2 linked regions of the Daphnia pulex genome follow. The protein of the gene in region 1 interacts with the protein of each later gene in a biochemical or structural test. Links are inferred from orthologs where the notes say so. Each region holds a gene or a part of one and is shown in the gene's direction. Other genes may lie near its edges.

Region 1 (4,093 bases):
CTAGGATAAATGTAAGTGCTGGCATCCGCCACGGACACTTTTGGCTCGACCCGATCCGATCCCAATAATCCCAAAAGCTGAAAAATAGTGACAAAGTTCCTTCTTCCTTCGTGGTTCTCATTGAATGATCTCGGAGGTAGAATTTCGGACTGATCGACTGCCACTGGTTGAAAGTAGACGCTGCAGTATTGCCCATCGAATCCGGGTGCCCGAACGGCCAGACATTCATCGAAAAGTCCATCCGCGTGAATGTTACGTGATCCAAATAACCCCGGTGGAAGCTTGGCTGAAGACTCTTGCACTATTTTTTAAATAAATAATTAATGAATTACACAATGTTTGTCCCAAATTTCGAGATGTGATAATCACTTGTTATCTAATCATCGTTACCAGATGTCATTAGTAAGTGAAAATAAGGTCATTGTTCAATCTCTAGTCACCTTTTGCATCCTTCATTATCAGTTCTTTATACGACAGAGAATATAATAATCAATACAATTCAACCTTTGTAACATGACTAATAGGACAGATCTTCCACACACATCCGCCATGTCATTCAACGATATCGTAAACACGCTATTACAACATTTTTTTAAACACATAGTTCAGTTTTGAATATTATTCCATGATTATTATTAATGCAGCTTCTTTTTCAACTTACTTTGTAAGGCCCATAGACTTTGGTTGGCGTAAAGGTTATGAACGTAATACTGGCTATCTTGTAAACATTGTTGACTAATATTTTTAGCCACCGCCGTTGGGAATGAAGAAGATTTGAGTGCGGCGAAAACGTTGTGAAGTGTTGACGTTAAATCAAAAGTGGACCCACTTTCCTGAAGTTGTTGGCTAATTATATTCCTCCACTTTTCAAAAGATCGTTCACTCTCCGGTGAAATGATTAACGCCGGATTTATGAATTGTTGAGACTGGCCTCCTACCCAAAGTAGAAGAAAGGTAATCTTCCACAGCATGGAACCCATAACGAGTGACTGAAAAGGACAACAGCTCCGAAATTTTTGACTGACGACTAATGAACACGTCCAGAGAATTTATACCCTTAATCAATCTCATCAGTCTCATACAATTGTACTCTTTGGAAGTTGGAACTTTTTATCTTTGGAACAAGTGACAAGGTGGTTTATCTATGCTTTGTGACTATATCCCCTAGATTAAACGTTGCACAATGGTATTTCCGCTTGATCCCAAACCGATCACAATGAAATCAAAAATTAACACACATACCTTATGGTCTAAGTTTCTGGTGCACCGCGTGGTCTACAATGTTTGAAGTGTTGAATTTATTGGTCGAGGCAGAGTCGTTTACAGTAAATTATTCTGATCGAGGTAAATGAAAACGTTTCTTTTTCATTTTATTTCTTTGATAATAGATTTTTAGTGCCATTTACGTCGAGTTCTAATGTAAACAAGAATTTCCTCTGTCGAAAGCAAATGTTATTTTCAAAATCGATCCGGCGACACGGCGTTCGACCCGTTCGTATGTCAAAATGAATGAGCTAATAAAGTTCCGAGGGCCATCTGGTGACGGATGTAAATTTGATTCACCATTGCTTCAAAGATGGAGTTGTAGTCAATAAAATTTCTTTATGAAGATTTTTGTTGACCAACTCAAGTTGACCATATACTCGCCCATTTTCGTTTTCAATTAATTTATTACTCGTGCCGTGCGTGCCCAATGTGTTAATTAAAACGTGCTGAAATATTCCAAGTATGGCCAGCGACATCGACGAATCAGCAGTAAGATTAGATACTGCTGATCCGGAAGAAGTCCAAGTTGCAGGTCCCTCACTTGAACAACGTAACCAAAGAGCAAGTGTTATTGTTGTCCAGCCTTCGTCTACTGAAAACAGAATTGGTACCGTAGAACTGGAAATCACGAATGAAGCTCAAACAGATCAGGATAGTCGTGATAGTTTAGCTGAAAGTAATGGACCATTGTCCCCTATTTTGATCAGAGGCAGGCGACGCAGGCCTAGAGGTATGCTAAAGAATTTTCCTCCCTTTTCTCATTAATAATTTTTATATTTCTCATTCATTAGATGAAGATAATGATGATGAAGAAACTGAAGATGGGGGGCCTCCTTCAAGGAAATCTAAATCAGATTCTGCTGGCGGTTTTCTCCCAGAAAAAGAAGACAAAACTGCTGTAGATGATGAAGAAGATGGACAAGTAAGTCTGTTGCTAAGTGGAGTACTTTTTTTGTGTTATCCTGCATTATTCATATGGTTATAGGTCTGCCCAGTATGTTTTGATGTTTGGAGCAACTCTGGATCCCACAGAGTTGTGTCGTTAAAATGTGGACATTTGTTTGGGCAAGCATGCATAGAACGTTGGGTTCACTCTGGTGGCAAGGGGGCCAGGTGTCCACAGTGTAATGAGTCCGCTCAAAAGAAGGATATTAGGCCTATATATGTTAGAAATTTAAAGGTAACTAAAATTTGTTAAAAACAATTGTTTCCTACTCTAATATCAAAATGGTTGATTTCCAGGCAATAGACACGACAGAAAGAGACAGAGCCTTGTCAGCTCTAGAGCAGGAGAAAGAAAACCGTCGTAGGTTAGAGTTAGAGTATCACAAACTTCAAATTCAAACAACCGCCAAAGAGCAAGATATTTTACGATTGCAACAAGAGTTACAACAATGCCGTGCAGCTTTGTCAGGCGCCTGTTTAGCAGCCAGTGGCCAGGGAGCCGAATTACCTTTAGCGGGGGCAGGTCCTCTATTTGGATCTCAACCTCCTGGAATACTAGGCCGTCGTTTAGTTCTGGATTCGACACTGGAGCTTTGTAAAGAAGGCCAGTGTCGCGTCATGTCTTATAGCGAACATTTAACTCTGCTCGTAGTGTCTTATGCTGGAACAAATTCGCACTTGACGGGCACTGGTATCAAGAAAGTAAACGCACTGGGAGGATTTCGCACTGTCGGTTACATCGCCGTTCACCGAAAGCCCATCCGCGACATGGCCTTCCACCTGGAACAGAACGACCTGCTTCTGACTGTTTCGTTGGACAAGACGGCCAAGCTGGTAAACGTCCACAGTGACATCTCAGTCACTTCGTACCAGTGCGATGCACCTCTTTGGAGTTGCGCATGGAATGCCGACAACAAATACCAATTTTTCGTTGGAACTGGCACTGGCAAGGTTTTACTTTACGATATGCGCAAATCCGGCGATGCAGTTGAGTGCTGGTCAGAGCCCAACAGCATGTCGCCCGTCACTGGACTTGCTTACCTTCCATTCAGGTGAACCTTTTAATGTTTTATGTAATTTTGTTTTTGTTCCTGGATAATTGACTGAATTTGATTTTCTTTTGCTAGTCCGGTGACCACTTTTCCCAGAGGTGGACTCTTTGTTCAGCGTTTGCAGTCGTGTGTCTTCCACGAGTCACGGACAGACGGCTTTGTTCCACATACACTGCCTTTGGATGGGTCCTTCACATCGCTTTGCATTGAGCCAGAGACGCGCCATTTTCTGGCCTCGTCTAGGCCCAGCACCGCTCATCCCCAAGTAATAATTCACATTCGTTCTTGACATTTCAATTAGAATCTGGCGGTAATAAGGGTCATCCATTTAGGCTCGCCATACCGTCTGTGCTCCTTCTTGGACTCCATTGGGTAGCGATTCGTCCACCGGCCTTTGCAGTAGTCACGCTATTACGACCATCCAAGCTGGATCACAGCAGAAGTTGCTCTCCCGTTCGTGCCTCCTTACTGCCCCGGGCTCCACTGAAGGTAAATTATTGATTATTTCACGCCTGAATTGACCCACAAATTAATTTTTGTTTTAATTATTTGCATCAGGCAAGCAGCTAATGGTGGCTGCCCATCAAGAGGCCGCCCAGTGTATTTCGCTATGGGACGTCAATTCATCGGCAGTGCTTCAAAAGCTGCCCTGTTCAGATCCCGTTTTGGATCTCCTCCCTATCCGCGTCAATGGCGTCCATTTCGTTGCTGCATTGTCGGAAAAGAATGCCCGTTTCTACAAGTGGACATAAACCAGGAATATTTCACTTTTTCAGTAATTATTATTACCACTATGGTCATTTCTATACCAAAACTCTGAGATTTTGTAC
Region 2 (3,506 bases), on another chromosome or scaffold:
CTACAAACAAATTTATATTATTAAATGAAAACATAATACGTAAAATATAATAAATAACCGCTTGTCCCATGATTTCGGCTTTGATGATTTTTGCTCCGAGAGCATTTAATTCCTGTTCAGTCCATATTTTGTCATCTTCTTGTGGTGGCTGTGTATCCTGTTTTTCTTCTTCACTTTCTGAAGACGACGAAGAAGTCGATGAATCCACTGGGTTGCTTGATTTGGCTTCATTTTTCTTCCATCCTGGTTGCGAAGAATAAAACCGTTTGTTTGTATGGGAAACAACTTCGTCACTCTCACTTGGTCTTCTGAATCTTTCTTGAACGGTTGATGATTTTCTAATGTTTTCTGGATGTTTTCGCTCTCGGGATCTTGATCTATCTCTGCTACTAACATGTGTGGAATCTCTATCTGAGGTTCTTTGTTTTTTTCTTTCTGAAGGATTGGAAGATACTGCATGACTATTAGGACTATCATGCCTTTTTGAGGATTCTGCTTCAGTTCTTTCAGGTGGCAAACCAGTTCCTCCATTTTTCCAGTATGGATTTAATTCTCTACTTGACTGCCCTGGTTTTTCCATCATGGTCTTTCTTGCAATTTCTTCATTCTTGTTCAGGGATGTTCGTTTGGGAGGCATGCTACTGTTACTGAAAATTGGAAGCAAAGAAGGCACACTCATCCATTCATCTCTCTCAAGAGGAGCAGATGAAGCGGGTTCTGTTGTTTCAGATGTTTTCTCTACCCATTCATCAGAATCAGAGGAATTGTCTTTTTTCTTGCTTTTTTTATGTTTCTTATCCTTTTTATGTTTTTTTTCTTTTTTACTTTTTTTGGATTTACCGGACAATTGAGCATCCAACTCAGGCAGCATCCATTTGTCTTCACCATTTAATTTGGCCAATTCTTTTTTAGCTTTCCTTTTCTCATAATCTCTTTCTGCCTAAAACAAAAGAAAAATAAACTAAACCAAATGTATACCAGTAAAATACTATTAAATCAAATTGGTGAAATGTGATGGTGTATTACCTTCGCAAGAATTGCCTCTCTCGCTTCTCGTTTCATTTGTCTCATTTCATCTAAGTCTTTAGAATTTTCAAAATTTATCGACATTTCAAAGGATTATTTCTATGGGCTAAAACTTGAAAAAGAAAACTAGAAAAGCAACACAAATTATTTTCAATCAAATTTACAAAAACGAAAACATTCGTTTTGACGTCTGTCGTTTTGAAGCGAAAACAAGCATTGCCAATTTGTTCAACCAGAGTCATCCGGTTCAACTTTTAATTTTTTTTACAAGCATATAATAAATTTTAAAAACGTTAATAAAAACGTTAATTAAAATTATCAATTGTAGTAAAAATTGTAAAAAGATGCCATTTAATTCAATATTGATATCAAATGTTTCCAACTCGTCAACATCGGATTGCGAAAACTAGTTTTCCCGCCATCTATAAAGAAAAGAAAACAGTGGATAGACGCAGTACAAGTTACAACGTCTGCATACCTGATTGAAGTGATTCACGTGCATTACGTTTTGTTTTGAGAACGACAAATTTAAACGAATAATTGAATTAATCTATAATGTGGGATCAATCAGCAAGTAATAAATACAATTTTGTCAAGCTTTGTGTTATTAACTTTACATTCTTTCCATTACAGGCGATTTTGGAAATGGAACAATGGCCGGTGGTTTCTTTAATGCTGGAACTCCAGGAGGCACAGTTAATACTCCTGGAGAAAAGAAGGTTTGAAGACATTTTTAATATCTCATAGACATTTTCTCATGTTTGTTTCATTCACAGGGTGGAGCTCAACGGGCTCATAATATCATTCCAGTTAATATCAAAGATATATTGGATGAAATTGATGAAAAACTAAAGATAGAAGATACTGAAGCCCACATGGTATCCATATTTATCTTCACTTTGAGTTACATTTACTTATGATTTACAACTTATCTCTTTTAGGTTACATTTGTAGGTACTGTCGAACAGATTGAATCCAAACAGACTAATGTTTCGTACACTGTAAGGGATGATACAGGTTCTATTGAAGTTGTTCAGTGGATTGAGGGTGAAGGGGTATGTATTGTGTTCTGCATATGTTTTCACTCATTATTTATTCCAATTTATTTTTGCAGAATGTCCAATCACCTTTTCAAGTTGTGGAAGGGAATTTTTGTCGAGTTGTTGGATCTATTAGACAGACACAGGATCGCCGTCACGTAATGGCATTTCGTGTTGCGAAACTAACAACTGCTAACGAAATAACAACCCACTTGCTAGAGACGCAATGGGTTCGTATGAAGTTGAGACAGATGAAGAGAAAAATGGTAATGAACAACTCAAATGAATGCTTGAACAAAGGTAAATGATTTTTATTTATAAAGGGAGAAGGAACAGGACAATCAATGAATAACTCAGTGATGGGTGGTGGAATGACTGGGCCTTTAGCTTCTTCATCCTCAGCTACTTCCAATGTGGCAAACGGTATCATGTCAGGACTGTCATCTTTTCAATCTATGGTTTATACCATCATTCAGGTAGATTCATTTGTCATCTATGTGATCAAATTCAAACAATAAAAAACCATGTTATTTTTAGGCAACAACAGCGGAAACCGGCATGGAAAAGTCGCAGATCTACAATTCTGTCAGAGGAAGAATGATCCCACGTGATGTAGAGTAAGTGTATTGATGTGGAAGACAAACATGTTTTCATTGATTTTAATTTAAATTTTTTATTAGTGCTGCTTTGGAATTCCTTTGTTCTGAGGGACATATTTACTCTACGGTGGACGAAGACCATTTCAAATCGACCGATAGCTAAACAAGATTAAGATGTACTGTACCTTCATTCTCATTAAATATCTACTAGAATAGATACATTATACTCAAAACTGTGTCGACTCAGTCTGCGGAATTTATCCTGAAGCTATTAATTCCAACTGTTTTGAAATGGTTCAGTTCTGTCTGTCTTTCAACATAAAAGCTTAAATCGTCTAAAATCCATCGGATCTACATCGGATAATTCATTTTCAGTATATTCAAATATCAGGTACATAATGACCACGGATAACTGGATCATGTCTAATTGCTATGGCAAGTGTTTGTGATGCATTCGAAGTAAAATGTTATTTACATCATAGAATGAAGACGTAAATGTTAGGTATCAGGCAAATTTACTTCTATTATTGGTGATAATCTTCTTGGAAGTTCCCACAGTAATATCCCGTTTCGTTGCCTACGAATAACCGTAGCGCCATCGGTTTCATCACTTGGTTGGAGTGCCGCTTTACTATGATAACATTATTGATTCAAAAATTAAAGCTAAACTCGCTAACATGTAGAAAATGTTTTGCTAAAGTTATCTTACTTTAATAGACGGTTATGATTTACTCGGTAAAGTAACTTGGGATTTAGTTTTGCAGGATCTTGCGGCTCAGACAAAATGCTTCCAATGGTACCAATGATTAAGACGATCACCACGCTCAATACCGTGTACCAC

What was found.
Region 2: the proteins of E3 ubiquitin-protein ligase RFWD3-like (region 1) and replication protein A 32 kDa subunit-like form a complex in vitro, tested with the Homo sapiens proteins (3 studies listed by BioGRID, with this or other methods). The link is inferred for Daphnia pulex from reciprocal best matches to the Homo sapiens genes RFWD3 and RPA2.

What each region holds. Positions count from the first base shown.
Region 1 is NC_060027.1:2,170,275-2,174,367, forward strand, and holds the start of E3 ubiquitin-protein ligase RFWD3-like, read left to right. Parts: upstream 1-1,293; 5' UTR 1,294-1,728; coding exon 1,729-1,996; intron 1,997-2,057; coding exon 2,058-2,188; intron 2,189-2,251; coding exon 2,252-2,446; intron 2,447-2,508; coding exon 2,509-3,263; intron 3,264-3,338; coding exon 3,339-3,528; intron 3,529-3,595; coding exon 3,596-3,752; intron 3,753-3,821; coding exon 3,822-4,015; 3' UTR 4,016-4,093. Other genes in the region: nose resistant to fluoxetine protein 6-like, read right to left, coding at 1-301, 662-980. UniProt on the Homo sapiens protein: E3 ubiquitin-protein ligase required for the repair of DNA interstrand cross-links (ICL) in response to DNA damage. Plays a key role in RPA-mediated DNA damage signaling and repair.
Region 2 is NC_060017.1:2,573,451-2,576,956, forward strand, and holds replication protein A 32 kDa subunit-like, read left to right. Parts: upstream 1-1,438; 5' UTR 1,439-1,581; coding exon 1,582-1,600; intron 1,601-1,659; coding exon 1,660-1,745; intron 1,746-1,802; coding exon 1,803-1,904; intron 1,905-1,967; coding exon 1,968-2,081; intron 2,082-2,140; coding exon 2,141-2,332; intron 2,333-2,389; coding exon 2,390-2,542; intron 2,543-2,603; coding exon 2,604-2,683; intron 2,684-2,746; coding exon 2,747-2,828; 3' UTR 2,829-3,006; downstream 3,007-3,506. Other genes in the region: CWF19-like protein 2, read right to left, coding at 59-940, 1,027-1,110; sodium-coupled monocarboxylate transporter 1-like, read right to left, coding at 3,164-3,296, 3,375-3,506. UniProt on the Homo sapiens protein: As part of the heterotrimeric replication protein A complex (RPA/RP-A), binds and stabilizes single-stranded DNA intermediates that form during DNA replication or upon DNA stress.